Oreochromis niloticus: one gene and its partners. The main gene of each other region encodes a partner of the protein of the gene in region 2 in a complex. Links are inferred from orthologs where the notes say so. Each region holds a gene or a part of one and is shown on either strand. Other genes may lie near its edges. The genes, in order: lsm6, prpf6, lsm5 and lsm7.

The links.
Region 1: prpf6 (region 2) and lsm6 share a complex: the UniProt entries of both Homo sapiens proteins name them as parts of the U4/U6-U5 tri-snRNP complex. The link is inferred for Oreochromis niloticus from reciprocal best matches to the Homo sapiens genes PRPF6 and LSM6.
Region 3: prpf6 (region 2) and lsm5 share a complex: the UniProt entries of both Homo sapiens proteins name them as parts of the U4/U6-U5 tri-snRNP complex. The link is inferred for Oreochromis niloticus from reciprocal best matches to the Homo sapiens genes PRPF6 and LSM5.
Region 4: prpf6 (region 2) and lsm7 share a complex: the UniProt entries of both Homo sapiens proteins name them as parts of the U4/U6-U5 tri-snRNP complex. The link is inferred for Oreochromis niloticus from reciprocal best matches to the Homo sapiens genes PRPF6 and LSM7.

The regions. Positions count from the first base shown.
Region 1 is NC_031971.2:16,285,264-16,293,334, forward strand, and holds the start of lsm6 (U6 snRNA-associated Sm-like protein LSm6), read right to left. Parts: upstream 3,532-8,071; 5' UTR 3,378-3,531; intron 3,365-3,377; exon of another isoform or gene 3,224-3,364; intron 3,057-3,223; 5' UTR 3,045-3,056; coding exon 2,951-3,044; intron 2,859-2,950; coding exon 2,745-2,858; intron 1-2,744. UniProt on the Homo sapiens protein: Plays a role in pre-mRNA splicing as component of the U4/U6-U5 tri-snRNP complex that is involved in spliceosome assembly, and as component of the precatalytic spliceosome (spliceosome B complex).
Region 2 is NC_031984.2:16,006,428-16,014,661, reverse strand, and holds the start of prpf6 (pre-mRNA-processing factor 6), read right to left. Parts: upstream 3,491-8,234; 5' UTR 3,443-3,490; coding exon 3,255-3,442; intron 2,746-3,254; coding exon 2,583-2,745; intron 2,446-2,582; coding exon 2,327-2,445; intron 2,207-2,326; coding exon 2,128-2,206; intron 1,274-2,127; coding exon 1,097-1,273; intron 552-1,096; coding exon 423-551; intron 296-422; coding exon 201-295; intron 102-200; coding exon 1-101. UniProt on the Homo sapiens protein: Involved in pre-mRNA splicing as component of the U4/U6-U5 tri-snRNP complex, one of the building blocks of the spliceosome.
Region 3 is NC_031974.2:8,914,705-8,923,052, reverse strand, and holds lsm5 (U6 snRNA-associated Sm-like protein LSm5), read left to right. Parts: upstream 1-4,849; 5' UTR 4,850-4,986; intron 4,987-5,097; 5' UTR 5,098-5,196; coding exon 5,197-5,233; intron 5,234-5,272; exon of another isoform or gene 5,273-5,391; intron 5,392-5,941; coding exon 5,942-6,037; intron 6,038-6,888; coding exon 6,889-6,916; intron 6,917-7,001; coding exon 7,002-7,074; intron 7,075-7,166; coding exon 7,167-7,199; 3' UTR 7,200-7,415; downstream 7,416-8,348. Other genes in the region: late secretory pathway protein AVL9 homolog, read right to left, coding at 3,649-3,732; psme2 (proteasome activator complex subunit 2), read right to left, coding at 7,659-7,739, 7,927-8,013. UniProt on the Homo sapiens protein: Plays a role in pre-mRNA splicing as component of the U4/U6-U5 tri-snRNP complex that is involved in spliceosome assembly, and as component of the precatalytic spliceosome (spliceosome B complex).
Region 4 is NC_031986.2:44,793,457-44,801,026, forward strand, and holds lsm7 (U6 snRNA-associated Sm-like protein LSm7), read right to left. Parts: upstream 2,871-7,570; 5' UTR 2,798-2,870; coding exon 2,792-2,797; intron 2,534-2,791; coding exon 2,443-2,533; intron 2,362-2,442; coding exon 2,290-2,361; intron 1,506-2,289; coding exon 1,363-1,505; 3' UTR 1,038-1,362; downstream 1-1,037. Other genes in the region: kelch-like protein 23, read left to right, coding at 3,131-4,100, 4,269-4,680, 4,806-5,109. UniProt on the Homo sapiens protein: Plays a role in pre-mRNA splicing as component of the U4/U6-U5 tri-snRNP complex that is involved in spliceosome assembly, and as component of the precatalytic spliceosome (spliceosome B complex).

The DNA of each region.
Region 1 (8,071 bases), on a different chromosome or scaffold from region 2:
TAGTAAATTCTATGTTAAACCTTGACCCCCTGCAGCATCCACGTTCCACATTTTTCACCTCAAAGATAATCTGTATAGTTTGTTGTACTGGTTATTTTGACTAAAATAGCACTATCTGCAGCCTCAAACACCGGCCTGCATGACTCACATTCAAGATCAAATCACACACTGGATACAGTGCATGCCTGGTGTCTAGAAAATGCAGACAGAGATGTAGATGTAAACAATACAGTTAAAAAAAATGTTCTGACTACTGTGGTAAATACAGAGTGTATTACACTATCTCTGCAAACAAGAGCCTTACACTGAGCTGAATCTAATGCATCCTGAAAAAAAAGGGCATACCAGTGATTAAACATGAAATCTCTGTCTCAGGACAGTTTCAGTGATGTGAAAAAGTGTTTGTCCCCTTCTTGATTTCCTTTTTTTTTTTTCATGTTTGTCTGTTTTAGATCATCAAACAAATGTAAATATTAGGCAAAGATAACAAGTAAACAAGTTTCCAAATGAAGGTGTTTAGTATTAAGGGGAAACCAATCCAAACCTACATGGCCCTTTGTGAAAAAGTGATTGCCCCACCCTGTTATAACATAAATTAACTGTGGTGTATCACATCGTTGCAAAGTTTGAGTCGAGTTGAATTTCTCTAGCCACACTCAGGCCTGACTAGTATTGCGCCTGTTCTCAATCAAGAAATCATGTAAAGTGGAGTAGACCAAAATATCCTCAAAAGCCAGGCACATGCCAGAATCCAAAGAAATTCAGGAACACACGAGAAACAAAGTAATTGCAACCTCTTGGTCTTGAAAAGGGTTTAAAGCCATTTCTTAAGCTGTATGACTCCAGTGAACTACAATGAGAGGTATTATCCACAAATGGCGAAAACATGGAACAGCCTCAGTTTTGCCAGAAAACATTTTGATGATCCCCAAAACTTTAGGGATAATACTCTCTGGACTGACAAGACAAAAGTTGAACTTTTTGGAAGGTGTGTGTCCCATTACATCTTGCATGAAGCGAACAAAGCATTTTAGAAAAGGAATGTCATATACCAACAGTGAAAAGGTGTTAGTGCGATGGTCTGAGGCTACCTCAGGACCTGGAGGCTTGCTGTAGTAAATGGAACCATGAATTCTGCCGTCCAGCCACCTGTTCATGACCTCAAGCTGAAGCAGAGTTGGGACAATGATTCAAAACACACCAGCAAGTCCACCTCTGAATGGCTTAAGAAAAACAAAATGAAGTCTCTGGAGTGGCCTAGTCAAAGTCCTGACCTGAATCCGACTGAGATGCTGTGGCATGACCTTAAAACAGGCGGTTCATGCTTGAAAACCCTCCAAGGTGGCTGAACTTAAACAATTCTGCAAAGATGAGTGGGCCAAAATTCCTCCACAGTGCTGGAAAAGACTCAGTGCCTGTTATCACAAACACTTGATTGCAGTTGTTTCTGCTAAGGGTGGCCCATTAGGTTTAGGGGGGCAATCACTTTTTCACACAGGACCATGTAGGTTTGGATTTTTTTCTCTCTTAATAATAAACACCTTCATTTAGAAACTGCACTTTGTGTTTACTTGTGTTATCTTTGTCTAGTATTTAAATTAGTTTAATGTGAAACATTTAAGTGTGACAAACATACAAAAAAATAGGAAATCAAAAAGAGGCAAACACTTTTTCACACCACTTTATCTGAATGTCTCTGTACAAAACCATTGTACAGTTTGAGTTCGCTCCAGTCTGTCTATGCTGATCAACATGGAGAATATTAATACAAAGTTTCATAAAAATATAGCAAGACACAAGAAAATGCAATGAGTGAAAAAGGGCAGTTCCCAAGAGCTGTGTTAACAATGTGTTGTTTTAACAATAATTAATGAGTTAAAAATATCTTAATAAATCAGCTCGGGCATCAGCTAACAGCTACTGTCATTAACAGGATATCTACTGATTATTATCATATAATGATGTACTTCGAAAAATCAATGCAGGCAAAAGTTTAATTTGAAGACCAATTTAATTTGAGTGGGATTTTTTTTTTTTTTTTTTTTATCTTTAACTAATTATCACCATTTGGCTAACCCTCACAATACTTTCAAGAAGGCGAGAGACCTTTTCCACAGTTTAAAGAGAAAAAAAGTACTAGTGCAAATAAAAAATTAAAAAAAAAATATAGTAAAACACATTTCTGAGTTCAGTTTTACAGTTTCAGGATTCTGGTTACTGTTCACGACTGACTTTTACGCAGAGCTTACTGGAGCTGTACAAATTTATTTTATGAGGGAAAAAAAGGAGTTGTGTTAGACCAGAACATAGCTAAAAGGTTATGGCACCATACTGAACCGAGTCGTGTCATTCATAATGTATGCCCTCATTTAAACGGAATTAATAAGCAAGCACTGAATGTGAGTCATTATCAGACAGACCACAGCTTCCTGTTTTGAGAGGAACATCCTACAGAGAAGGTTACTTTTCTGGGTAAGTTGGCTGATCAACCTTTTTAGATCACACTTTAACCTGCGCTCCTCACCTGTGTTTGTCATATTTTCTGCTCCTTTTAACTGTCATGAATGAGTTGCAGTTTCAGACATTAAGAGAAAAAACTGATGGCCTCAGAAACATAAACAACCTGCATTTATTTTTCTACTCTATTTTATCATCATATTAATTATGCACTTCAGTCTTCTTACAGAAGACCTATACTGCCTCAAATTTTAATACCAAAGTCTACATAAAAGGGACAAGCTTACCATTGTTTCCTCTTAGGAAGGCATCTCCATATTTGTTCTTGAGTTGCCCGTTGACATACTCCTCTGTCTGCTCTATGGCGATGTTCATGTAACCATCTAAACAGGCCAGAACACCTGCAGGTACACAAACACACCGTGTTTTCCTTTAAAGTCATTACTTACCGATCAGTATTGGGGGGGAAACAAGTGGCTAGGCTGTTACGTACCTCTATAATCGACACCAGAGTTCAGTTTGACCACAACAGGTCTGCCAATGATCTGCTTCAGAAAGTCACTCGGGGTCTGCTTCCTCAGGCTCATTTTGACTGTGATCTGAAAGGATGAAAGATGAGCATTAGATACTATAGTAGCAATTTATTTCATGGAGCTACATTAGCGTGACAAAAGCTAACTCGTGTTCATGTCTGTAATAGTAACGATTTCCTAACGCAAACAGGCTAGTATCGTTAGCGGCTAGCTAGCTAACGAGTATAACAAACCTGCTAACCGACTATTTTCCCGTGAATCTGTTTGCGCAGCGAGGGTCGCTGTCTTTGTGAAAATCCTGCTTACATTTTATTGCACCCAACAACACAAGGAGAAACCCTTTAATTTTATCTGCAGCAGCAATATGTTTGTTAGCATTTCACTCACCAGACCGAGGTTTTCCAGACAATTGTATTTAGCATGGACGTGAGATTGACCAATCACAAGCGTGTTCTGTACGGAAAGAGGCTGAGGACAAAAAACTTAACTGATTGATCGCTAATCATATAATCAGGTATCAAACTGGCAACAAAGTAGCTATAGTTTTGTGATTAAATGTTTGCCTGAGCCTTCTCTATTTTTTGCCCTTTTTTTTGCATATTTGTCACATTTACATGTTTCAGGTCATCAAAGATAACTTGAGTAAATACAAAATGCAGTTTTTAAATTATGATTTCATTTGTTATAGGAAAAAAGCTTCTAAAGCTATCTGGTCCTATGTGAAAAAAATAATCCCTCCCCTTGTTAAGTCATGAATTAACTGGTAACTTTTCCCTAGTCACAGCCAGGGCTGGTTCCTGCCAGACCTGCTGAATCAAGAAATCACTTAAGTAGAAGCTGTCTGACAAAGTGTAAAAGGTGAAAGATTTCAAAAAGCAACACACCATTCCTCATTCCTTAATCTAAAAAAAAAAAAATCTCAAGAATTGATAAGAAACGTTACAAAGCTATTTTTAAGGCTTTGTGACTCCAACGAACCACAGTGACAGCCAAAGGTGCCACAGGCAGTTATTAGGTTTTGGGAAAATGACTTTTTCACGCAGGGCCAGCTTTCGATAGTCTTTTCCCTTAATCAATCAAATCATCATTTAAAAACCGCATTTCGTATTTACTCAGGTTACCTTTGTCTAAAATTACAATTTCTTTGTTGATCTGAAACATGTAAGTGTGCCAAAGTGGCAAAAAAAAAAAGAGGGAAAAAAAGGAATCTGTAAGGGATTAAATACTTTTCTCAGAGCATGCCGTTTTTTATGTGCTTAAGGCTCTTGCAACACTGTAGCCTTGTGTTCAGCATCACCTGTACTTTTATGTTCCCAGCCATGACAGTTGATGTGCAAAGAGAAGATTATGAAGAAAAAGGAAATATGAATTTTAGTCCAGCAAAATAATATATATATACATATATATATATCAGCTTCCTTTTTGGACCTTTCTTTTCCTCCTGTTAGTCATTAATTTGGAACTGTGCGTTTTCTATATATCATTTCACATAATTACCACCATAGGCTGAAAGAGCATGATGAAAACAAAACATTTGAATCTGGATTCTGGTTAAAGCACAGAAAATCACTACCCAAATAAGAAGAAATCAGAGCAATTTCTGGATGAATATTAATAATAACAACAGAGATAATGATGTTGGTACTTCATACCTCTTTGTCTTGTTAAATTAAAATATAAAAAAATCATTTAGGTGCTTGCCTTGTTTTAAAAATGCATATGATCCTGAGGCAGAATTGAGTTAAACTTAATGGGTGACATCAATATATATTATAAGCTATGATTTCACAAAAGTTTGGATGCTGTAAAATGTAAACAAGAAAAAAATGCAGTAATTTGCAAATCATTTGAAGCCTGTAATTAAGAAAAAAATACAAAGGCAACATATCAGAGTCTAAACTGAAAATATTATAAGACTATCAGGTACATGGGCAAAAAAATAAGCATACTGGAAATGTTGAGTCTGCAAAAAATCTGTGGTCATTTGTGGTACATAATAGCAATTAATCAATCAGAGAATCGATAAAGATTTCACCAAAATTTTTGCTGACGGGCCATGATCTATGGGCCCTCAGCTAACACTACATTAAAAATGGACATGATGCTTTAGTAGAAATCACTGCATGGGGTCAAGGTCCATTTTCAGTAAAATATTATTTGTCAACCATTCGTGCTCACATTCACACCTATGGGCAATTTTGAATCACCAGTTAACCTAACCCCACTAACTGCATGTCTGGTTGTCTGTGACAGGCTACTGACCTGTCCAGAGTGTACCCTGCCACTCACCCTGTGGTAGCTGAGATAGGCTACACCCCCTCTACGACCCTGAATTGGATAAATGGATGGAGGGAAGGATGGATGTTATTTGTCACTGCCTCAGCAAATGAAAGTTAAAACACTACCATGCAAAGAAAGTAGATTTTTATCAGCACATAGTTCAAAAGCTGAGATCTGTGATGGTCATGTGCATTAGTACACGCGGCATGTTTAACCTGCACATCTGTAGGGCACACAGGGATAAATACACATTTTCAAGCAACATATGCTATGCAGTCCAAATGATGTGTTTCTCAGAAGAATCATTGCTTATTTCAGTGAGAAGATGTCTGTACATATTTTGCATATTCATCATAAAGAGTAAAGTAAAAGAGTCTCAGTGCTAAACAGTCCTTCCTGTTTGTTTTTGTTACACACTAAAAAACAAAATAAAAAAAAATGGATCATTGCAAAAAACAAAATAAAAAACCCCCAAAACAATTCCAGAGAACACAAACAACGGAAATTATATATCAAGCAAGAACAAGGAAGAACTCTGTGGTCTAAATTACTGCAATTTAATTTAAGGTTGTGTTGTAAAATGTACAGGTGATGCAACACAGTGGTAAATATGCTTCTCCCTAAATGTCCATGAAACTACTCTGAATCTCACACGTTTGACTTTGATACTATTTAACTGCATTATGCGTAAATTTAACAGTAAAACTTCTACAGACCCTCACAGATTCTGGTCACTGTCTCTGTTATTGCAAAATAGTTGCTGTTCGACAGCTGAATGGTGACCAGATGCACACCGAGATGAAGTCAGATCTGCTAACAAGGAAGGAAACACCTGATGTGTGAGTACAGTCGAAAACATAACTGCCATCTCCTTTGAGAGCTGATTAGATTGGCCTGATTGGTCCTTCTACTTATTCATCGCTGGATGTTAATATCAAATCAAGCTTTATAATAAAAAACAAATAAATACAAAAAATGATTGATGACAGTGAAAGTGAATATTTTGAAGTTTCGGACTGTTTTTACAAACATTTTAAAATAAATTATTCATTATTTATCAGAATGAAATATATATCAAAATAGCACAAATGTAAAATTCTACATTAATCATATGGACAAAGTTTCATTTAATTTAATCAAAAAGCTTAACCTAATGTAATAAATTTCAATCTAAATTTTCAGTGGAAATCTTTAAAAGCTACAGAAGTTTACTTATATGTTAAAGTACGTTTATGAGTGTTTCTCACTTTGGGTTTACACATTTTTAAATCACTGTGGAATTTCTCTTGTTTTAAAATAGAAATAAATAAAGTGCATTATAGCTTTAAAAAAGTATAATGCAATAATAGTAATAGTATTATTATTTTTTTATTATTACCATTATTATTATTATTATGCTATTGGTAAGCTGTGCTGTGAAGGATAAGAGAAAGTCTACCATCTGATAAAAACTCTGGTTGTTGGGGTGCGTGACCCAAACACTGCACAGCTTGGGAGGTACATGAAAAATGGTGTAGGGGGGGAAATAGGGATGAAATGGTGAGGTGAAAGATAGAAGAGGATAGAGGGCACGAGGATGTGCCAGTACGTGTTAGCAGAGACAGAGAGGTTGAGAGAAAAAGAGAGAGAGAGGGAGAGAGAGAGGGGGATTGTGAGAGGTGGAATCATAAAGTACTTCTTGTGTGTCTAGACAGGTTGCTTGTTAGCAGGGCATGGCTAGCCCTGTGGAGGCTAGAGGTTAATTTGGTATCTGCTGCTGTGTTAAACTAAGGTCAGTACTACAAGTCCTTAAGTCATAAACAAGAGTGGTTAAGAGCCATGTATACACCTAGGCACCGGTTAATGAATATTCAATGAAGATTTTTTTCCCCCTTGTCCCTTGTTTCCTTTGTCGTTGCTTGCTTTGTAGAAAATTTTTGGAAAGAAAAAAACCACAGTTTTTCTCCATGGCCTTCAGAAATGACCTCTGCGTGCTAACATGTAGTTGTCCTTTGTTATCCTATAGTTGTAACGAAGAGTGGCTTTTTGCTTTTTGAAACGCGGCACGCTGATTATTCGCTTCCATTCTTGAACGCACTGAATGCAAATGCTCATTAGTTTTATCTCGTAGTATAATAAAAACCAATGATCTAATAAAAACAGAAAAAAAATGTCCAAGTCATGAAGTTTGTGGATAAAGCAAAACTTATACTCATGACCGGCATTTAATGCAGACGTTTTCTCGTGCTGATTTGGATCTTAGTGGAAATATAATGAGAAAATGTTTGAAGTGAGCTTACACGGGCAAATCGGGTATAATCCACAGGCTGAGAAAAGTGCTTCTGGCCTGTAACCAGCACAAAATCCACCAATGATGGTTAATAAGTCAGCTGAAATAGGGCTTAATTAAAACATTGACACTGTGGGCTGTATCTGTGGTTAACCTGTCAGTGATCGCCAGACTGTTCTGCTGCCTATGCATTACATGTGTAATGTATGTCTAAGATGCCAAGTCTTTTTTTTTTTACATATGCTGTAACAGCAGATTCAAAAAATAATAAATAAATAAACACATGCAAATACAAAAGCATCAACAGGCTTTGTTTTTGTTTCTAATTTCATTGTTTTTGCTTTTAATCAGCACATGTTCTCAGGTAAGTAGCAGATTTCCCTTTCTGGTGTCAAATTGCTTCAGGTGGTCTTAAATGTTTGATTGTTTTTCCTCACTGTATTCTAATTTTGTATTCATTTGCGCTTCATGTGTCTTATATATGTGTGTGTTTTATACATATATATAATTTTGTATTTTAGAGTAATGGATA
Region 2 (8,234 bases):
CAGTCACCTCCTCCAGCCTGGCAGAAGCAATCCAGGCAGGTGGGTGATGGGGATTTGTTTCCCTCACTGATTTCAGCAGCAGACGAGCCTTCTTGATGTCACTGAACAAGCAGAGCCACAAACAAGCGATTTAACACATATACACAGAGCAACTTCTTTTACACAAATATAGCAATCTGATGCCGTCAGTGTCTCTCTACCTGATGTCTCCTCCATAAGTGGGGATCATAGAGTTAAGATCTGTCAAGTAACCCTTGGGATCCACTACTGTTTGTCCACTCACTGAGTCAGACACCTGAATACAGAAAACATGCAGACACAGGATAGAGAATAGTTAAGTTGTTTCTATCAGCATAATGGCAGCAGCATGAATCCTAGAAGAAAGTAAAAGTGAAAGTTGCGCAAGGTAATGCATCATTTACCTGACTGAGCCTCATATCCATGAGTGTGTTTCTGGCCTGACCAATTTTCCTCATATCCAGTTCTCCGGTCCCTGGTGTCATCAGACCAGGTGTCATGCTTCCTGGATAAGGTGTGTTCAGACCTCCCAGCTAGTAGAGATAGGAAACAATGTCAACAGAGAGGAGCAACACAGTCTGTGAGAAGTCTGTCATGGCACGTTTAAACAGCTCTTGAAACAAAAACCCGAATCATGTAACACTTTTCTAACCAATGCAAAATGACACAAATTACTTCAATCTTTTAATTTAAAGTCAAGCAATGGCTTTTTCTCTGTTGAGAGGCTATACCTCTTAAACAACTGTCGACTTTTTAAATCAGCTGGCCGTGTCTCTATTTTCAATTCATGGACGTCTACCTGCATGCACAGGTCAATCAAGTGTCCCTTTCAAATGTATTTTAAATGCCAACAAAGTTCATGTGACCAATTACTGTAGCAACAGGTGTCCAGTCTGTAAAACAGACAAAAACTGAGCAAACTGCTGTAACTGGAGAGTAACTTGTTTTTTTTTTCCAAGGAGATATCCTGACTCCTGCTGGGCCATAGTGAAACTACACCCTGAAGTTTAGTGAAGTGCACTTGGAAGTAAATATGAGTTACAAAAATTATTTCCATTTGTATACACATTATACTGACCCCTTGCAACGGGTCAACAGAGGTGTGGTTCTCTCCACTCTGCAAATGTTTGGAGAAGAAGCTGTCGGGGACAGGGGTGAGCTTCTCATAGCGGGGATTCCTCTGGCGCTTGTTTCTGGCATCTCCCACTTCAGGAATGCTCAGCCATTCCTCCTCTGACACCTCTGCAAGCTTCCTCTGTAGAGAAATGGTAAAAAAAAAAGAGATGTTGGAGAAAAGAATGGGATGTGAGCATTGCTTTCATTTACGATTGTTTGATTATACCTGAGTAACTAACCTAAATGTGATTTACTGCACAGAATCTGCAAATATCTGTACTGATTAAAATAGCACCTCTAGTTTAATCAGTATTTTATTTCCTCAGTAAAACAAGAAGAAAAGGTAACACTGTTTCAGAGACAAACTTGCAAGGCACTTTTCACTACTAGGCTATGACTAAGCTTATCTCACAGAAAGATCTTAGCCCAGGAATTCATTGCTTAAAAATTATGAATTTAGAGACTATAATCGATCCTGTATGTGGCTATCTCATTGTACAATTCTTCCATTTAAAGCACAGTGTATGCTGTAATACCTGCACACGCTTACTATTTGCACATCCTCTACAGAGAAAACAAAAAAGCACAGTATGACAAGAGGGGCACCACAATATCAACCGTATATATTTCTTTTGTGTAATATACTGGGATATTTATAATTAAAGCTATTTTTGTATATTAAAGCTATTTTATTATATTGCATAACTTTGCAGTATGTTGACATATTTAATTTATTTTAGTTAGCTGCTGTTCTTACAGTCTTGGAGAAACTGATCACATAATTTCCTCAGGGATTAAAAAAAGCCTTCTGATTCTGATTTAACCAAAGAATTGCATTGAATAATATTAATCCTTTTCTTCTGTAGATATGATAATAAAGCTAATAAAACCAAAATGCATTTAACATGCTTTTAGTGCACAAAGAAGACAACATTAGTTTTCTCCATAAATGATGCAGAAGAGAGGTTTGGAATATTAGGGTCAATCTCTTACCTTTAAATCTGAGAACTGCTGCTGAATTTTTGGTCGCTCCATACGGTATTTCTCAATTTCCTCCTTTTCTCTCAGCTCCCTAAAATACAACGACAACCATGAACAAAAGACTCCTGCAATATCAAATCCATATTATATTTGAAAACAAATACACTGTGCATTGATAAAAATTAAACAAAAGACTCTTCTTTTTTGTAACCTTCTTTCTTTGCGTCTTTCATCCATCCTCTTGTCCAGCGCTGCATATATAGCATCGGCTTCCTCATCATCTTTCTCATAGGGCCCACTTGAGAACAAGCTACCTGCATAACCATTAAACTACAAGAGAAACAACAAAGTATGACAAGATTATCAAATTAACTGCTCATAATAAAAGAAATCGGCTTTAAAATTGTGACTTGATCATTTAAACTCTCAGAAAAAAAACACCTTTATCTACAACAAATCACAGATACCTCATCATAGTTGGTGTCATTCAGATCTTCATCATCATCATCCTGGTTCTTTTTCATTTGGTCCCCGACCGTCCTCTTTCCAGGGGGTGCATGCCGGTCATCCACTGGATCATTAGCATCACGAGCAGGACCGATATCAGATCGGGTGGTGAAACCAGTGGCACTGGAGGGAAAAGCATTAATTTAAATGTGACATAAATAAACACAGCCTGGCCAAAATTATACCGCGAGATCTTTACTCTTCTCTATAACACAGTGACATACGTTTCCATGCTTATAACACTATTTTGATCACTATGACTTTTTAACTTAAATTTTGCTCGCTTGTCTAAAACAGATTACATATTAGATGACTATGGATTTAGAAAGAGCATATATTGACATTTAACTCTATTTGAATTAAATTTCAATTTAATAGTTCACGTTTAATAAAGCAATTACATCATAAAACCACTAAACTATTTAAAAACTTCATAGTCTGGCGTACTTGCCATGGTAAGGGAAACGATATGCACTTTATTCACGTATAAATTATATATATATATTAACCAATTAATGTATGTATTGTAAACTACCTTGTACTTAAATTTTACTAATTATTAACGTGGGTTAGTACGACTGAAAAAAAACGGGTCAATCTGGCTAGCAGCATGTAGCTTTAAGTTAGCTCACCCTCTGCCGAGACCGGGAACGTAACCCAGCGGAGCAGGCATCCCTAGAAACGGCTTTTTCTTTTTCCCCATGAGCGGAGAGGCGAGGGGCATTATCGGGGGCCCACCACTAGCCCCCGCCGCCCCGGTGCCTCCCGCAGAAGTTTTGGAGACAATTTTAGGCGCTTGTTTTGCACCAGTGCTAGCCATCGTTGCTCACACGACGAGACGATGCAGAGCCGGATAAACAACAGTCGAACTTCCGTTCCGAGGAAAAAAAAGGCCTAAGGTCTAGAAATGCCTGGCAGCGCCCCCACAGGACTGGCGGGTTATTAATTATTACTATTACTATTTTTATTTTACAATGTATTCAATACTATTTTAGTTTAGTTATAGCAAAACTGTTATACATTAACTATTCGGTTAATATTTATTGGTTTAGATTTGGTTTGAATGCAACTTGCTGTGAGACTATGTGGATGAATTTATTTCTTTACTCATGTTTTCAGCAGATTGAAATTTGCACAGAAGTCACAAGAGGGCACCACATCCTGAAAAATAATGCCGCTATGGAAACTCATTGAACTCAAGGGCCCGACTGTTGATACACAGCAAGAAGGTCGTGGGTTCAAATTCAGTCTGGAGCTTTTCTCTGAGGAGTTTGCATGCTCTCCCTGCGTCTCTGTGCCTTCCTCCAACAGTGCAAAGACAAGCCTGTTTGAATAAGTGGATGGATGGATGGTGTTGCATAAACTATCATCTGACATGTGAAAACCCCAAAAAGCTACATATTTTTTTATTCTGAGATATTTGTACTTCATTCTACTTAACCCTAATGGTACAAACATCCTGGCAGTTCCTTATAATCAATTACCGAAATAAACTTCTCACATTATTTCATTCATTTATTTTATGGTTTTGTTTTCCCATGACAATGTGTCATAAATGGACCACCTGAACCTGACCACCTGATGGGACACATGGCACAGAAACACCCTAACTGAAACACACAGTGGCAAAATAGCAGTAATGGCATTTTCAAAATGGAACACTTACATGCATACACTAACTTAGACATGTGTTAGCATATTAAAGTCCCAACCTATTTACCATTATGAGTGAAAAAATATCCATTATCCTCTATATAATGTGGATATTCAAACTTGAGACAGGAAACTGTAATAGTGGTAATTACATATTAACATGACATTTCTGGGTTTCCTCCCATAAGATGAAATTAGTCTATAGGCTACAACACTGCGCTTCAATCACATTTAACTTCACTGATGCACAGTCTGAGCCTCGGCTTAGGCTTTTACATTTTTCTTCATTTACATCGCCTGAAGGGCAGACATTATATTACTCCCGGGAGAAGATGTTATGATGAAAATGGACTGTCAGGCACATTAGCCGATATATAGCTCACGCAGGACTAATTTAAACATGGAGCGTAACTCAAGCCTTTATTTCACCCAGCTATTGTATGGCCTATTTTACTTTTCCCTGATTATTTCAATGATCGTTTGATTTCAACCAGAGGATTTTTATAGTCACACATAGAAATCAGAATTATGTCAAGCCTGAATTGACAGGGAAAGGTGGCAGAGAAAACACCACATCGTATATCTGCAGTCTCTCATAGTCCTGAGCCATAATCTACTTCAGTCTCATTAATGATAAATTGTCTTTAAAGTATTGGCCTATATTAAGAGTGAGAATTTCTCAGAGCCTGATCCAAGCACACGTGTAGTACCAAGATTAATTTGCACAATAACTGATTCATTATTCTCTGCTGCATGAGTAATGGTCACTATACCTAAATGAATAGAAAAGGTGTCTCCAATAATCTGACTTATATATTGGTAACAAAAGTGTGTTTCCATAAGCATAAAGCACCCAGCAGGAATCCACAAACCTCCACCTCACATGCAGACACAAACACATTCAAATCTGCAATTGTGATGGCAGTGGAAGCAGAAGATAGCGGATATCTGCTCCGGGGCTGGGAAGACTGACTGAGCAACGGCGGTCTCGCCAGAGATCATGCTATCATCATTTCCTTTGATGTGCAGCCATAAAACATTTGGCAATGCTTCCTGTAAATGCAGCTGTGAGTTGGAAGCTGTGTCTTGCATTAATAAAGTTTTAAAAAAATGACAAAAAAAACATTTTTTTCCTACTTTACCTGCATCATAGACAACTTGGCATCATGACACAGAAGTCTAAAAGGGACTCATTTGACCTCTACAACTCATCTGCATGAAAAAGACAACTTCCTATATATGTTTGTAAGAGAATAGATCATAATGGAGACCAAGATTTTGACTGGCAAGCCTTTTTTCCCCTAGTCATTATTATAGAAAGCCATTGTTTAGAACCAAGCAGTGCTGAAAGACAATAATTTAATGGCTCAGCCTATTTTTTTGTTTTAACAAAGACTAATCACTTCAATTAGCAAGAAAATGCATTTTGAGTTATAGAGATTCACAAAATAATATCTCTAATTTCATAATAAATACTTTAATTTGTGATCTGGTGATACACTGATGCTTGAGTGTAATTGGAAGAATAAAGTGTGCTCTAAACAAGTGAAATTACAAAGAGAGTAATTGTGAATATTTTAATGGGTGTATTTCCATTCAAGCATACAGTAATGTGTGCATTCTTGCATGTTTATTCATTTACATGTGGGCCATTTTGCATGGATGCATAACTCAGTTTAATCTATTTTTTCAGTGCACAGAACTCAGGATGGAGAAACCAGTGGACTTTCTGCCTCAACCTGTGCTACACCAGATGTCTACAGTGTCATGTGAATGCAAAAGAATGGGTCCACAGCGGTTAATAGGAAGATACCAAGAATGAAAAAGATGCAACAACTCAGCCAAAAGCAGCATGTTTACAGTCCACTAATTGAAAGAAGGCTGCTGTTTGGAGGAAGGAAGCACAGAAGGGCATATGTCAAGATGACAGGTTTATTGATATGCTTAATGCATCACCTACAAGCACACACCTACACTCACAAAGACACACATCATTCATTTTGCTGTGATTCATTGTGAGTTAATATTAGCTCATTATATTTTACAATACAGTGTGGACAAAGGGAAAAAAACACAAAATAGGACACAGACAAAACCATTTTTCAGTGTGCAGACATACTAAACTCAATGACTGTGTCTTAGCTGAAAGCAGTCTACCTTAACAATGCCTCATTTCATACGTAGAAGAAAGTCCTGGGAGGATAAATGATTTATTTAGAGCTGATTAGTGGCTGTTTATTATTCTGAAACAAAGAGAAGTGTCCTTGTGGAAGGACAACAGTAAATTCCTATTAGGGCTTTCCTTTTGGAGTGGCTATCTACAGCTGTTTTGGCCAACAGATGTTCAAATAGAATTTCATTGATCCACTGAGTAAAACAAGGCTTTGAATGAGGATAGTCCAATAATTAGTCTAAGGCAGGATCTGCGACACTGTAAAAAGGAGGGGAAAACGGTGGTGGTTTTTGTGATGTGAATACTAATGCATTGACAGTTCAGGCAGTCGTGGCAAATGCACATTGCAGGTCAAAGTTAATGCTGCATTAGGCTAATTGCTATGTAAAGAAAAAGACCCCCTCCACTCCTGTCCTTAAGCAGTAATAGGATCGCCACGAGTCTGTGGGAGAAGGCTTGTTTGGCCTATGCACACATGCCATGTTACATGTCTCCTTGTAGGCATTTAGTTTTTGCTCAGTGTGGGAGAAGAATGGAAGCATGTGAATTACTCTCACTGTGGTTTGATAAGAGGTTTCTCATATTTTTTGCATTACATTTGACAGCTAACACAATCCAAAGTACAACTGATTTGTTTGCCTGATGGGTGAATAGATAAACGAGATTATTGAGTGAAGCTGTTCTCCTGCCACGTTGCCTGTTGTCTGCTCGAGACGGCGGGGTTATTTAGACACGGTGAATCGGTTCATGATGCCTTCTGTTTTCTCTGCTGCTGAATTTCTTGAGAGGAGAGGAGAAGAAATATAGTGAAAAAGACAGAAAGAGAGACCAAGACAGAGAAAGATGCAGTGTGGATTCAGCCATTTCTTAGCATTATAAAGTGTGGAATAAACCTGGATTCTCTCTGATCGTGGAGGTGTCAGGGGACCAAACACAAAAGGGTGTTTTATATATATATATAGATATATAGGGAGAGAGAGAGAGAGATTAGATAACTTTAATGTTATTTTCTTGTCTCGTCATTTAATATCACAAAATCCAACTTTGCATTGCCTTTCAGTCGTCTGCTAAAAAAAACAAAAACAAACAAACAACAACACCTGTTCCCTTGTGAGCATAATAACAGACATAGTGTTCGAGATAATACAATGATAATACAATGAGACTGGGGGATTGGTTTATTGCCCTGAAACCAGCCACTACAAGTACATGTGGGTGACAGAAAAAAGGATTAAAATGTGATTATTCTCATACACTACTCTTCTTTATCCATTGTGGTTCAATTAAAAAATATTTTAAACTATATTTATGTGTCCTCATATATTTGAAAATAATAGCAGTAGATCTAGCCATGCTACATTAACAGAAACAGGAGAAATTACTCCTCTATAATATTGGATTTGTTACCAATATCCTTACTACATATTATTAATATATAACTATTCTGAATTGGTGCAGTTCTCACCTCAGGAACACATTTCTCCACCCACATTATCTTTTCTCATTGTGTCTACACATACAGCTAAACACATTTGGTTATTGTGTCGATGCATTTCCTATTTGAATCTCACAACTTTTGTCAGTCAGACCTACATGTCTCTTACTTCTCCACAGAACACTGAGGCCACTCACACACTGTCAGTGGTAGTAGTGAAAGGTTACATGTTTCATCACTGTCTGTTTTCTCAAGCATATAGGGTCAGAGGTGGCAGCGAGTGAAAGGGATGATTTACAAGACAATAGTGAGACATAGTATGATTTACAGTTTGGGGACAGTGACAGGAAA
Region 3 (8,348 bases), on a different chromosome or scaffold from region 2:
ACACTCTACATTACTGGTCGTTACCTATAATATTCTTCCATTTCTCAGAGACAGACAAGTAGCTTAAACACCAGAAGGGACTGAAAGTTTATATTTAACAATTATTCTGGTTGACTTTCTGCAAAAAAATCATTTTTAAAGTTCGAAACAGATGTTCCCCACACCTTTTCAAATATTTTTGTCCAAACTTTCTGTCCAGTTTTTCCAGAATCTAGGCCAAATGTGGTATTCAGGATAATTGAGTTTATCCGAACAACACTTTCCAGGTGATTTACTGGTCGGTCTACATTCACACCCTCACCAGCAGCCACAAGCTGCGAGTAGAGATCGAAAGAGTAGAGTGTAGAGCTGCTCCTCCACATCAGGAGGATATATGACATTCAGGCATTTAACCCAGATGCCTGCAAGGTGAGCTGTTTCAGGCAAGTCCACCTGCGAGGAGACCTCGGGGGAGAGCCAGGACACAACAGAGATCAAAATCAGTTCCTAACATCACTTCGCACTGCCACACACAGAAACAGCATTACTATCAGGTAATCAAACTTCATTATAATGGCAAGACAAAGAGAACTGCATGTTTCACATCTAGTTTAATCAGCTTTGCTCCTTTCTCCACTGCCATTGATCGTTTCTCTACTGGGTCAGTTCCTAATTAGCAGGAGGTCCCCATATGTGAAAGCACTTGAAATAATTACTAACGCTCAGCAACAGTGACTATAAGTGTACCTTAGAAAGTTTCATATACACATCACATTTCCTGTTTCATGAAGTAGTGAGAGAGAAGTAAAGTAATTTAACTACAAAGAATGCAATGTTACCAATCGATTAATGCATGAATGACTTCATGAGATATACTAAATATACACTACAGAAGGACAGCAAAACTACTAAGAAATATCATAACTAACAATTAAACTTCAAAAACCCTCCAACAAGACTAACTGGAAACCTGCTGGTCCTGAACACCTCGGACACACCCACCAGCAATGATTCAATGTTTGATGGGGAAATCCTCCCTCAGGGCAGAGTGCCACTCCTCACCCCAGAGAAGTGATGCTCTGAACAGAAATGCATCCATTACTGAGCTTATTCATCCTGAATTGAGTTTATTTTTCATTTATATTTTTAGGCAGAGAGCGAGGAGCTGACATTAAACTATTCTTTTGGTCAATACAGACAAAGTAAATTTCAAATGTAGGAAATATTTCTAAAAATCCAGCTTTCAACTTGTTCAGGAAAACCTTTGGAGTTACAGCCTGGACCCCCAAACACTTAAGCCAGTATGCTTAAGTACTTGGGGTGGGTCCAAAACAGTGGACCTACATGGCACAGTGACAGAGGTTCATGAAAGCAACACCCGCACAAGTGGAACAGAAAACTGCTTAAAGATTAAAGTTAGATTAAAGTTATAGTTTTCACACAGCTGAATAAACGTCACACAGAAAACTGATTAAACAGAAGTGTGAGATGGTCGAGAATTTACTCCAATGTCCTTTTATATTTTAGAAAGCAAAGAACAGATGGCTGAGTTCATTATTAAACTTCACTGAGACAATCTGCAAATTTCATTAAAAGTTTAATTAAACTATCATCTTGTCTTTGTTTTTAGTTAGCACATACCTTAAACACTTCAAGCTGTAAGCTAATGATAGTTATATAAGAGCAGATGCATGCTGGTGCAATAAGATGCACGTTTTACGTCCAATGGATGCATGATCTGATTAGTCGACTAATCATGCAGTTACACACTGAATAATCGGTGACTAGTCAACTATCAAAATAATCGTTTGTGGCAGCTCTACCTTACATTAGCCACATCTTTAAAGTGTCTATGGATGTGCATGAAATGTCCAATTTTGTCCCATCTCGCAGTGGACCAAGCTCCACATTTTGTGGCATTTTCATACAAATCTGTCCATGAGTTACTATGTAATCCTCCAAACAAACACACTGAGCCAACTGCAAAACATGTTAGGGTGCAGATTTGTAATGTATGTGCCAATGTTTCTTAATGTACTGTTAAAAATAAACTTTGCAGATGTAAGGAATTAAAAAAACATGCTTTCAATGTTTTTAATCAGGCTCATTTGTGCATTTTTATTTGTATTTACATGCTTAAAATTAAGTGGGAAAATATAAGTAAACATATTTCTGTGTGATGGATGTTCCTGCTGCATTACTGATTAAGGTTTCCAATAAAAAATACATGTAGAAGTCCTCGAAATCCTGCCAGGCAAGCAGATGGACAGCAGGTGAATAAGAGGAGGAGGGCGGTTGTGAAAGAGAGGCAGAGAAACGGATTAAAGAGCCAGGAACCCAATCTTGTGCCGCCCAGCAGGAGATCGCTGACCCTTATCAGATAACCTCCATCACCTCCATCCCTGAGTGCAGGCCCATTAAAGGCAACAAAGACTGCAAACTGGGTGCTTTGCCAGGGCTTTGGTCTCATCTTTACATCAGGAAAGCTGTTGTTTTATCTTTGGGCTTGAGCAGCAGCTGTTTGCAAAACCGCAGAAAGAAAAACAGATGGAGAGCAGAGACAACAACAACACCACTGAGGAGGAGGAGGAAGTTCAGTGTGTAACTGCACATTTAATGAAATTTGAATCAGCAGCAGAAGAAGAACAAAACAACAATGTGAGGAAAAATTAGAATCAGTAAAGCGGGGGTGTTAAGCTCACTTTACATTAACGGCCACACAGAGTTCAATTTGGTCTTAGGTGATGATTTGTCAGACAAATTATTTTCACAATTAAACAACTGCTACAAATGTGAAATCTTGTAAACCTCCTCGTTGGAGTGTCAAAAAGTTTCATATGCAGTAAAAATCCTTAAAAAGATTTAAAAAAAAATTAAAAGGTAAACACTGAGTGCTCCTGCCCCTCAGCAAGCTTCTGGAAGTCAGCCAATCAAGAGATAGCAAGCTTAAACAGAAGGGGCTCTTTTTAAAGAGAGACTTTGTTTCAAACTGACAAGTCGTGTAAAGGGCCAGTGCAAGATCGAGCAGGAGTTTTTAAAACTTTTTAGTGCAGTCCTAGAATAATGAGTCAGTAATGCCTTCTGTCTGTCTTGTCAGCTGGGCACAAAACATATTTTTCGCTTTTAAACAACAACAACTCCTATAATAGTGACAGTTAAGTGTCTTCTTTTTACCAAAAAGGCCCTAAAATATTAAGTAAACAATGACATGATACCAAGAAAATGTTTCTAAACAGCTCAAAGAAAACCTGAACTGATCGATTAATCGGCTTGTTGTTCCATTTTTGTGCATACCCAGACAAAAGCAGGGTCCAGGAGAAGTGATGATGAGTATGCTGCAGCCTGAGATGAAAACACTGAACTGCTGGCAGCAGACCTCGTGTTATATAACCCTGGGAGCCCACAGCAAACTGCTGTTCTTAACCCCTCTTCACTGACAGGGAAGCCAGGCAGTGAGAAGTCTGTAGTTTTTACTGTTTTTATGTTTATAAATGTCCGCATTACTGCAGGACTGTGCATGCGCTGTTTAAAAAAACAAGCGCATATTAGAGATGTAAGGTGACACTCGTACCGTACAGAAGTTTAGTGAAAATGCACCTTTATGTCAACTCAATGTGAGGACTTGGTTAGCAGTTAGCCGATGTTAGCTGGGAGCAGAGGTTCACGTACCTGGCAGCCTTTTTTGTGGTGAAATCCAACCACCACGATGTGCAGCACCGGCCCCTTCCCTTCGTCTCTGCCCTGAGGCTCCATCCCCGCTGCTGTACCCGCAGTCTATCGTTGTTTTAACTCCGGAATTGGATGTAAACACAGATAACCGAGGCCGACTTTTCTGTCTGTATCTCCCTGAATATGTGACACAGACAGACGGCAGCACCGCAGAGATGATTTTCTCTTCCGCTTAGTCCTCACTGGCCAATTGGGCAAGAGCATCCCCCGCAGCGCACTTCCGTTTTCGCTTACCGAAATTTAAGCTTACAGCTAATTGCCCCCCCAAGGACAGTCTTCAGTTAAGTAGAGTCAATGGAGCAAATTTACTTAGACAATACTTTCTTAAGTGTGCAGACAAAAGCCAACATTTTATTACAGTTTTCAAAATTTCAGCATTGATATTAAATTCAACTTAAAATAAAATTTAGCTAAGCTGTGCTTACTAGCTTTTAGCTGACTAACTGTTTAGTTGCCTATCTTATTCAATTACTTTTTAGCTAACTATCAAACAATAATTTAGCTAGTCATATTTTAGCAGACTAATTAGCTGTTAGCATACAATTAGCTTTTAACTGGCTAATCAGCATTTATCTAATAACCTTTTAGCTAATCCCGTTTAGGCTAACTAATTGGCATTTAGCTACCCTACCTACCCTACCTACTTTCAGTGTTTTTCGTTATGTAACAAAAGTTGAGTTATAAACATATACAACAGGAAGGCGTGTATAAATTACTAGAGATTTCCAATTGTATAATGTTATTAATATAACGTAATAAAAACATTTAAATGACCGATTAAAGTTTTAATTCACTGTTGACCAATGTAACATAATATAATAAGATAACAGTTAACAATTATATTGAGTGTATTTTTTGTCTTAAGCAGGACAAAATGAATGTAAAGGCTTTAAATGCAATCAGGCTGAAGTTCTTTTGGAAAAAGTCACGAGTTGACTAACATTTCCTTCATATTTTCCTACATTTCAATCTGGAATTTCCTTGGATGTTATCAGACATCTTGCCCTAGAATAAAGTCCGGATAATCTGCCGTTAAAGACTAGATAATTAGCTTAGTCTCTTGTGTTTCGAGCTCAATAGAAAACGTGCATGTCACCTTAAATTCCACCTGTCACGGTGAAATAAAGCATAACTATCCACGGTCAGATTTTACAGGGGTGAATTATCTTGATCTCTGTTCTGTTCTCTTTTTTAAACACAAAAATGATGTCATGTGTTCCTCGACACAACCTGCGCCATCGTGTGGAGACATACAGAATAATTTAATATCGTCCTCAGGTGTGTGTGTGTTTTGTTTGAATTTAAAAAGAAGTGTATTATATTTGGTTCCAACCATGAATGTTTGAATTTCTTTAAAAAGTAGACTGAAGATGTTTTTTGTTTCTCCAGAGACGAAATTGTTCTAGATTGATTGATCTTGTCTGGCTGCCACTTCGGTTCTTCTGTCGATTACTTCTGGCTTTGTAGAGGGAAGTCTCTTGATTGAACATGTCGGCTACAAACCCGTCGCAGCTGCTCCCGCTCGGTTTGTAAAATCTCTATGATGCTGTGTTTTGTTCCTGACGTCTGTGGGTTTAAATGAGGCTGTTCCGAGTCATCGTGCGGCGGCCGCAGTTTAAGCCGCGGCTCACTGAAAATCATTTTCTAGGCAGATGTTTGCTAGTTAGCATTAGCATCACGCCGGTAGGGAGCTAACGTTGCGGCTTTACTCTCTGCAAGCACAAACAAAATGCTTCTTATTTGATTTAGTTTGTTTATTAAAGTGTCAGAGGGGAGTTTCTAGCTGAAAAGTTAAAATAAAAAAAAAAACTATCATTTTTGTAATGGTGATTTAAAGAAATAATACGAAAAAAAGCTGCTTTTATCTGTGTCAATGTGTTACATTGCACTTAATGAAAACGTAATTCACAGATTTGCCCTGGCATGTTCAAAATACATTGTCGTCCTTTTATTTCTATTTAGTTATAGGTGATGCTTTTTAAAATATGTGTTTGCATATTTGTAATCCAGTCAAACTTCTATTTTTTATTTTATTTTAAGGGGATCGGTTTAATGTTATATCCATGTGACTAGGAGGCTATTATTAAATATTTATGGTATTTCAAAGGGTTAACTGTTGAGTCCTTAAGAAAGATAGACACCAGTTAATAAAGCGGTTAAGTGAAGTGTAAGAAGTAGAAACACCCACCTGAATTACAGGATGTGTAATTTCTCTGTATTTTTCCTTTTGCAGAGCTTGTGGACAAATGTATCGGCTCCCGAATTCACATCGTCATGAAAACTGACAAAGAAATTGTCGGCACCTTGCTGGGCTTCGATGACTTCGTCAGTATCTTTTAATTAAAACGTGTCCAAATGAGCGAGTTAGTGCACACCTAAACACCAACAATTTACAAAGTGTTACCGATGTTACTGTATTGTTCTGTACACACCATAAACTGTTTGAAATCATCCATGCTGTGAGGTGGAGCTGATGCAATGAGAAGCAGTGAACTATCGTGCTGCTTTTTGTTTCTGTTTTATTTAGAAATGTGAGAGAGGACACTTGCAGAATACCATTGGCATAAAAAAAAATGTGTAGATCTGTACAATGGGGGACAAATAGACTGATCAAATAATTTAAGGAAACAGTCAGTCATCACAGTACAACACAGAGTTCAACGTCAGGCATGTCAGTCTGTCCAGGTAGGAGTAATAAACCATCATAAATCTATTTCTGCCAAATTGGTGCAAATTAAAGTAACAACAGGTTGTGAATTTGATAACTTAAGAGGGAAGTCAGCTAGGATTTTCAAATTGATAACATAGGTGCACCTTCTAAAAGTCTTGGAGTTTGAATCTCGGTGACCTTGACTTCAAGGTCAGAGTAAGTTTTGTGAAATTCTTGTGAATGCGATAACTTGAGAATGAGGGGACATAGGATTTTGAATTGATACCACAGTTGTGTCTACTAGGATGAGGAGTACCGCTGGTGGCCGCCAGTTAATTAATGAATTAGTTAATTAATTATTAGGGATTAATAGGAAGTAGAAAGGCTTCTGTAGATGGGCGCTGGTACTGCTCACGTCCACGTCTCCACATCCTCCTGCTCGTTTGTGTAAACCTTCTAGCTTTTAGCTGCACTTTGATGTCTCTTTACTGTTTATTGTTGCACAGTTTGTCTTTAACTGTGTGTGTCAGACATGGTCCTGGAGGATGTGACAGAATTGTAAGTACTCCTGTTACATTTTTACTCTAACTACACCTTTTCTCGGGTTCACTGCTGACTATATTTATAAATGAATGTGTTGCAGTGAAATCACACCAGAGGGGAGGAGGATAACCAAGCTGGACCAGATCCTCCTCAATGGCAATAACATCACCATGGTAACCAAACAAACATCTGATCATGTCCTATAATCCCCCGTGTTTTAAACCTTGACAGGATGATTTATGGCGGCATATTTTCTCTTCTGCAGCTCATCCCCGGTGGAGAAGGACCAGAAGTATAAATGGCTGGAGGCCGGTTAATCTTCCTGTGTTGCTGTTCCTGACTTTATTATGTAATTATTATTGTTGATGTCTTGTTTTTTCTTTGGGTTTTTCCCTCCTGATCCTGAATGAGAAAGATATTTTTGTAATAAGATTCCTCACTGATGAGAGGTGCACATGCCGAAAAGTTTTTCTTTGTTAAAAATAAATCTGAGGATGTCACACAGTCTGAAAAACACTTTTCTTTATTCATTCTTTACCACACAACTTAAAATTTAGTGCAAATCTTGGTATAAAACCAAAGTGTTACCATGAAACAGCAGAACTAAAAACCCCCCATCCAGTTGTTTATGTATTTATTTTAAATGTTTATCAAACAAAGAGCCGGATACTTGATTGATATTGAGTTTAGCAGGTGATCAATGCAGCTGAAGGTTGTTTAAATTCATCCCAGTGGCTTTTCCCGTTCCCCGGGAGCCTCAGTACATCGAGGGCTTCTCCTCTCCTTTTGGGTTGGTCACCTTCTCCAGGTTTTTGCTGATGATGTCATAAAGCTCGGCCTGAGGAAAACAAGCAGAAATGCAGGTAAATAATCGACTTACAGCAGCTAAAAATACATTGTTAGTGATTAAACTATTTGAAAATCAGTTTTTCAATCTTATAGAAAAACTCAAATATTTTATTTAAGATCCATTTTTTTCCATGGTTTAAGTGTTTGGGGGGAAAATATAAATCTAGGCTTCTTACGTAGAAGCCGCGGATGTCAAGAACGATCACTCTGATATCCGAGTAGATGGCCTGATCCTTCTCGTGAACGAGTGAGCGGTAGTCCATCTGAGGGCAGAAGAAAAGAGTTAAAGGCATTTTTAAGATTTCCTTTTTGTTTCATAAACTTCAAGGCTCGAGGCTTGTTGGGGTGTTCAATGATGAAAAAGACCAAAACCAGCTAGTGTTCATCTATCTCTGAGATCTTTGTGTCTTCTCTCAGGCTTTAAGCTCATATTCAGCGTATTTAGCTTTGCAGCTCTTTCATCCACACGTATTCAGTCTTGCTTCTACTGACTTTAATCCATTTTGAATGGAGTTATCTGACTAATGTGACTCGCTGTGTGTAACAGACAGGTGATCGGGTTTTGGTGAGTGAAATTCTGGGATCTGATTAGTTTGTT
Region 4 (7,570 bases), on a different chromosome or scaffold from region 2:
GCCCACAACAAGCCCTCTCGTCTTTAGTCCAAGTTTTCAAATAAGAATTTTAAATTCAAATTCCATCACACTGAGTTTTCCGCCAGAGAAGGCCGGGATGTTTCTGGATCGTGTGGCTTTCTCTTCGGATGATTTCTTCTTCTCTTCAATGTGCATTTGTGGATGACGCAGTGTTTTTGAACCCGTGCAGTGATTTGCACAACAGGCACATGTCTGTTTTTAATAAAGTTTTTAATTTTTGGCATTCCCCAGATTCGTGGCCTCTTTTGATGACATATTGAGTCTTTAAGTTTTAAAATTTTCAACAGTTGTTTCTTACAACTACATACACACACAACTTCTGTTTCGTAGCTGCCATATCAACTTTTCTGAAACATGTTGCTGCCATCACATCTTAAAATGGCACATTTTCTTAGAAAACATCACGTTTAAATTATTTATTATGAATAAAATACAGATTTATGAAATTTGCAAATCATTGTATTGTTTTTGTGCACATTTTAAAGAACATGCCAACTGTTTTGGAATTGGCGTTGCATTATTAAGCGTTTGACGTATTTTTTTGCCGGCTAAGCTGGACAGCAAGCAGTGATGCTCAGCTGTAGAGCAGTGGGTCCAAAAGTGTGGAGCGAGCCACAGAAGCTGGAGTCTGGATAAAGGGAGAAAAATAAAGCAGGAACTCATTTCAATAAAGCCGTTTTTAGGAAGGATAAATACGAGACTGCTGATGCAGTCACACCTGTGTCTGTATCTCTGAGTCTTTGCTTGGTTTCACTGAATGATTAAAAACTAAAAGTTTGGGGTGTGACTTAGTTTTTCCTGACATGTGGAATGGCAGAGAACCCGCGCCGTAGAGGAACACGTGAAACTCAGTGTATGAGATAAAAATGGAGCCATATCTAACTCGCAGCAGCAGCTGAGTCATGCTGACGATTTTCAGGAATCTCTAAATCACATTTAAAGTGGTCGATTTCACAACTGTAATTCTGAATGTAAAGCTGTGCAGCCAGGAGAGTAGAGCAAAACTTCCAAAAGTCGGCATAATTACATTTTCACTTTATTTTCTTATCAAAACAACAAAGAATAGTAAAAAGTTCACTTATTCTGGATAAAAAGAAAATGGTACTGTTTACACATCCCACATTTATGGGCTCTTTACAACACAAATCTTTACAAATTTGCACATCAGACTGAAATAAAAGTGAAGTGCATTCAAACGTTTTTTTGCTGCTTAACTAAATCGGCTTGGCTCCATTAATGATTACCGTTATTGTTAAAACGAAATAAAAACTAAGGGAAAGAAACAACTAAATATTCAAGCGTGTACATGTACGTGTAAGTGAGCAGGGGAGAGCTTGTGTGTTAGCCGTCCTGCTGCTGTATGAACGGGTTTGGTATGGCTTCCATGCCATCCTGAGGACAGATCAGCACTACGGAGGTTCCTCTGCAGACCACCAGCCCCAGCTGCCTGGTGTCTTCTGTCAGCTTCAGCTGGTCATCTGGATCTAAACATAAGAGTTGCAGGAGCACACAAGTAAGCGTCACATTATCTACAACAGCAGCCGATGCTGCACGATCAGTTTAAATATATGGCCTGTATTTATAAATGGCCTGTATTTGTATAGCACTTTATTAGTCCCTAAGGATCCCAAAGCGCTTTACACATCCAGTCATCCACCCATTCACACACTGGTGATGGCAGCTACGTTGTAGCCACAGCCACCCTGGGGCGCACTGACAGAGGCGAGGCTGCCGGACACTGGCGCCACCGGGCCCTCTGACCACCACCACCATCAGTTTTTTCAACCCTAACTTCACTGTGGTGTCAAAACCACCAACTAAACTTTAATTTAACTCAGCTGGGCTCACACTTGCACCCACACGCTGACATGACTTTAGCACAGAAACTCCTCAGTGTGACTGAAGGCTGCAGCAGTCATAGCTCAGCCGACCACCAGCCTCAGTGTGAGCAAAGCTTGGTTAAACACACAGCTCGACTCAATATATTAAATAAAATTTCCCAACTATGGGACCATCTAAATTCTTTCATCATATATTCATCATCACCAGCAGTGTTACTTTACAAGTCTGGGTCCTCCTTGAGTAGATGTGATCACAGCACCACTCAGGTTAGTCTGGGCTCTGCCTCAGTGTTGCAAATGATTCATTTGTGTTCAGGTTAAAGGAAACGCAAAACACTTTTCAGTGCTGGCGCAGTCTTGTGTCATTCTTTGTCCCTGTAAATCCATTTTCCCCTTCCATGGTCTTGACATTAAAGCGCACACTTACCGCGCATGTATTCAATAGTGCCGTCCAGCACCAGGTTCAGCAGAGGGTCAAATCCTTTAAGGACACCGCTGGCTGAGGAGGAAACAAATACATGGTGTAAAGTCTCCATTAGCTGCTTACCTGTTAGCTTGTTATCATAACTAATCCACCTACCTTCTCGTCCTCCTTGAAACTTTACACGAATCGGCTTATCGATGTATTTGGACAAGTCGAAGATGCTCTCCTTTTTCTTTTTGTCTTTATCCTGCGCAGAGAAAACAAAACACGCCGTTTGTGAGTCGCGTGTGTGCTAACCGCGCACACAAACACCAGCTGAGCATGAGCCCAGTTAGCTAGGCTAGCCGTGTTAGCTAACGTGATACAACAAAAACACCTTATATTACTTATAATGTGCTGATTTACATCTGTGGTTACGGCTGAAACACACACTCACGGGCTAACAGCATATCTGACAACGTCAAAGGGTGCAAAGGTAGAAAAGTATTTGAATGCACGAACTCACCGCCATGTTAGCTGCGTGACACGGAAGTGAAATTTCGACCTCAAGAATGTTCCACCAATCAAAACACCGAGCGCTTTTACTTGACGTCACTGCTTTTTAAAAATAGTTTTATTGACTCTTCATGATTTAATTTAATATGGATGGTATCGTGAGTTAGTTTTTATATTATAACTCACAGTTTTATAATCAGCATCTGCTTTTGGATCTGACCTCCTTTTCCTTTGCCAGACGTGGGTCGAGAAGGGGAAAGTCTATTAATACCACCAGCTGGTGTGTTGGAGAGCAGAGGGACGGGGAGCCGTGTAGAAGACAGGAGGAGGGGTGACTGTTTGTTGTGACATGGCTGACAGAGGTGACCATGAGCTGAAACTGCAGAGCTTTGAACTGACGCTTGTATCAGAAGAAGAGGATGAGTCTGCTTCACATGTGAAGGACTCTGAGGCTGATATAACACCTGATGCTAGTCTACAAGTAGAAGGAGAGATTTTTTATGTCAACCGCCAACATCTGGCCCTGCAGAGCCCTTACTTCAGGGCTCTGTTCTTTGGCTGTGGGTTGGAGAGCAGCAAAAGGCAGGTAGAGATTAAAGGTGTGAGTCTGCAGCATTTCAGGACCTTGATGGAATATACCACAACATGCAGCCTGTCTTTGGACAGAGAAAATGTTACGGGCATCCTCGAGACGTCCGACTTTTTACAGCTGGAGCGAGCCAGGCTGCTGTGCTGTAAGTTCCTGGAGCGTGAGCTGCACCTCAGCAACTGTTTGGGGATGATGGCCTACGCCTGGCAGCTGGGTTGCACTCAGCTTCATGCCGCAGCACGACAGGTGGTGCTCACTCACTTCTCTGCTATTTCAGCTGAAGAGGATTTTCTGTCACTCTCAAAAGAGTCCGTAGCAGATCTACTTGCCAGCGATGACCTAACCATCCATAAAGACGATCTGGCTCTGGAGGCAATACTGCGCTGGGTGTCATTTGACCCTAAACGAGAAGAATATTTCCTGGAGCTCATTGAGCTGGTGAGGCCCGAGTCTCTGTCCTTGCCTTTTATCACTGAACTCTTGACCAGAATGAAAAGCTCTGACCCCAGAGCCAGGCTCATCCTAAAGCTCAATGAACATTTCCCAGCATCTTGGTCAGTGGGCCGGTCAATGAGGAGGACCAGGGCCAGAGAGACCCTGTTCGTGCTGGGCGGGCCTCATGATCAGGAAGAACAGGCGCTGTACCAGTATCACCCGATGAATGGTAGATGGCAGAGCTGCGCGCCTCTGCAGAGGAAGAACCTCACACAGTACTCCGTGGCTGCAGTGGGTAATGGATGCATAATGAAGATAATATGATAATGAAACTGGCAAAAGTTAGATTGTGCTTATTTTTCATGTGCAGTATTTTTAATATTCTTAAGTTAGTTTTTATTATCTTACATGAATATTGGACATTACATTTTCACAGATTTTTGTAAATTTCCTTTTTATTTAGGAGACAGTGTGGTCGTGACAGGTGGCTACTTCCGGGATGTTCTGTGGTTCAGTGTGGATTGGGTCCGGATCTACGAATGTGGGAACCAGCGCTGGGTGGACGGGCCAGCCCTGCAGAAGTCCAGACACAGCCACTGCTCCATAGGGCTCGAGTCAGTCCTGTACGTCCTGGGGGGAAGTATGGACGAAGGTCTTGTGGATGATGTAGAAAGGCTGGTCCTTGGGTCAGAGGAGGGTTGGGAGGCAGTGAGCCCCATGGTCAGGGCCGTAGAGAGGGCAGCCACTGCTGCTCTGGGGTCGTGTATCTACGTGGCGTGCGGCCTGGATGAAAACGGCGAGGTTTATGGTGGAATTCAGAGGTATGTGGTGAAGCAGGATCAGTGGGATGTGGTCTCCTACTCTCCATTTCCACGGTGAGTATCTTTCTGATACTGCCAGGTTTACATTCTTATGAAGTTTGAAATGTCAAAATAAAGGATACAGGATGATTAGCTGACAATTAAACAGAAAGATTCATATTTTTTTAATTCTTCTTTAGATATGACCTGGTTGCCACGGAGCTCAACAGTGCCCTCTACCTGTTCGGGGGCCAAGCCCTTCGTTTTGACATGGAGACAGATGAGTGGATGGTGCTGGAGGAGGAATGTCTGAACAAGAAGTTCTTCTGTGGCTGCTCCTCAGTCACTGGGCAGATATACCTGGTCAGCGAGAGAAAGAGTAACAAAGCATTCCCAAACATGGTGCTGCTGGACCCTTACATAGACACCTGCATTGAGGTCGATGATGCCATACCCTGTCCCGTGCCCCTCAGAGGGTGTGTCACCGTAAGAATGCTCCCATGATGCTCTATGATGAATGTGGAATATTGTGCAAATCTCTCGAGCCATCCCTCTTTCTTTATATTTGGTCAGGAAAATGGGAAATGGGTGCAGCAACTTATGTGCAAACATGAAGGGAAAGTCAATATGTGGTCTGACCACCTTTAAAAAGCACAGGCTGAACTCTCAGGCAAGCTTTAAGTAGTCTTCAGGTATAGTTCTCCAGGCTTCTTGAAGGACATGCAAAGCTCTTCTTTTATTCCATTCTCTACTAAGATGATCCCAGAGATCAATAACGCTGAGTTCCAGGCTCTGTGGAGGCCAGTCCATGACTGATAGTGTTCCAGTGTGTTTTGTTCTATCAGGTATGCTTTTACTGCATGGTTGTAAAGTGTGGTGAGAGCAGGAAGCAGGCGGAAGAGTCTGAGCAGGTGGAGGTGTAAAAGTCAGTAGAAGCAGAATACACATGTGTGAATGAGAGGGAGACATGCAAAGAGCAGTGATAGTGAAGGTAGATCAGTTTAATATCAACCATCCAAGAAAAAGGAGAGTCCAGAAGAGAGTGCAGTCAGGGTGGAGTGGGTGGAGACGAGTGTCAGGAGTGATTTTAGACAGAAGGATAGAAGCAAGAAGCTACAAGACCTGCTGTGATGTATAGGTTGGAGAGACTAGCCCTGACAAAAAACTAGAAGCACGTCTGGAGGTGGCAGAGTTAAGATTTTCATTTGGAGCGACGAGGACTGATGGAGCTAGAAGTACAGTTGGAGCTGCCAAGCAGGAGGCAAAGAGGACGACCTCAGAAAAGATTCATGCAGGTAGTGAGGTAGGACACCCCAACACCACTGGCTGAGACTCAAACCGTGACAGAGCCTCCACTGTGTTTTACAGATGGCTGTAGACACTCTGCTGTACCTCTCTCCTGACCTCTCCTGACCTCTCCTGTACACACTGGCCATGATTTGAACCAAACATTTCAAATGTAGATTCACTCCACAAGACTCGTTGCCACTAAGTTTAAGTCCAATTTGTGTGTAATTTGGCAAAGCTCAGCCTTTTCTCCCTGTTTCCTTTCCCTAAGAATGGCTTGTTGACAGCCACCCTTCCACTGAGAACATTTCTGATGAGGCTTCAGCGAACAGCAGATGGATCAGCTGACGGGCCAGATGCATCTCTCAGGTCCTGTGTCAGGGCTTTGCTTGTGTGTTTTTTTTTCATTTAACTCTTTAGGACAGGACTTTCAGAGACTGTTCATGTGCTGTAGACAGGCCCGCCACCTCTTTAATCCTCCACTTGTCCAATTTGTTCAGATGTTTAAGGACACACTGCACAACATAAAAGTGAATGAAAAAGCAGCCAACCTCCAACCTTCATGAAGCCTGGAGCAATATTGCTCAAGAGCACTTTAAAAACATACCGAGACAGTCTGTCACCTCGATAGCAAAACATAAAGAAGCTTTTGCACAGTACTGTGTATGGTTACCTGTGTGTGTGCGTGTGTGCGTGCGTGCGTGTGTGTGTGTGTGTGTGTGTTCATTTGTATGAACAAAATGTAAGTGTTTCATAAAAGTTTGACTCAATTTGTACAAGTTTTATTCAGAAGTCATTTATTTAAACTTTTCAAGTTGTCACAAATCAACACTCATAATAAAACAGTCTTCTTAAAAACAACCTCCCGGTGGGTCTCAGTCTCATTCACTGCATCGACCCTTTTAGCGCTCCAGCGTTTCACTTTAAACCCCCTGTTGTGCGGTGGGCCTCAGTGACATCACATCCCTGCACAGACACGCCCCGTTTCTAGCCCTATCACAGCCATCGTTACATAAATGATGACTGGATGTTCACCCAGTCACCTTCACCAGTTCCCACTAATACAGCGGTAGTGAATTACATGATGTGTTCATCTGCAGCAGCACGGTGGGAAAAGACATGTATGCAAGCATCAGAACACAATCTGGTAAATATTAAAAGATACAGCTCCTAATATCTCTACATTCATTTTAAACAGGAGCATTTCATCTATGTATTTAACTCCACTATCTAAAATAGCTCAATAATGCCCATCTGTGTGAATCAGGTTCATGGCTTCCAAAGGTAGAAATGACAACGCAAAAACACGTAACACACGTTACAATAAGGCCTTTCCTGTGTGTTGTTTCAAAAAAGGCAACCCTAGTAGCTCACAGACTTCATATCATAGTGTTTAAAACACAGCAGCCAAGGCACAAAACTAAAGACCCGATTAGGAAATCATGCTGCCTGTGAGAAAAAGACACGATGCACAGACACACACGGTTCACGTCCGTGTTTGTAGAAGAAATACTTTTTGTAAAGGCATCAGAAAGGGGCAGCGTCTGCTTTGTGCACCAGGGGGCGCCACAGTTCTCCTAAAAAATCTAGCTCTGTCGCAGAAAAATACAACTTCTTTAATCATAAGAGGGATTCAAATACAGAATACAGTGAATAATGAATAAAAACAGCCTATAAA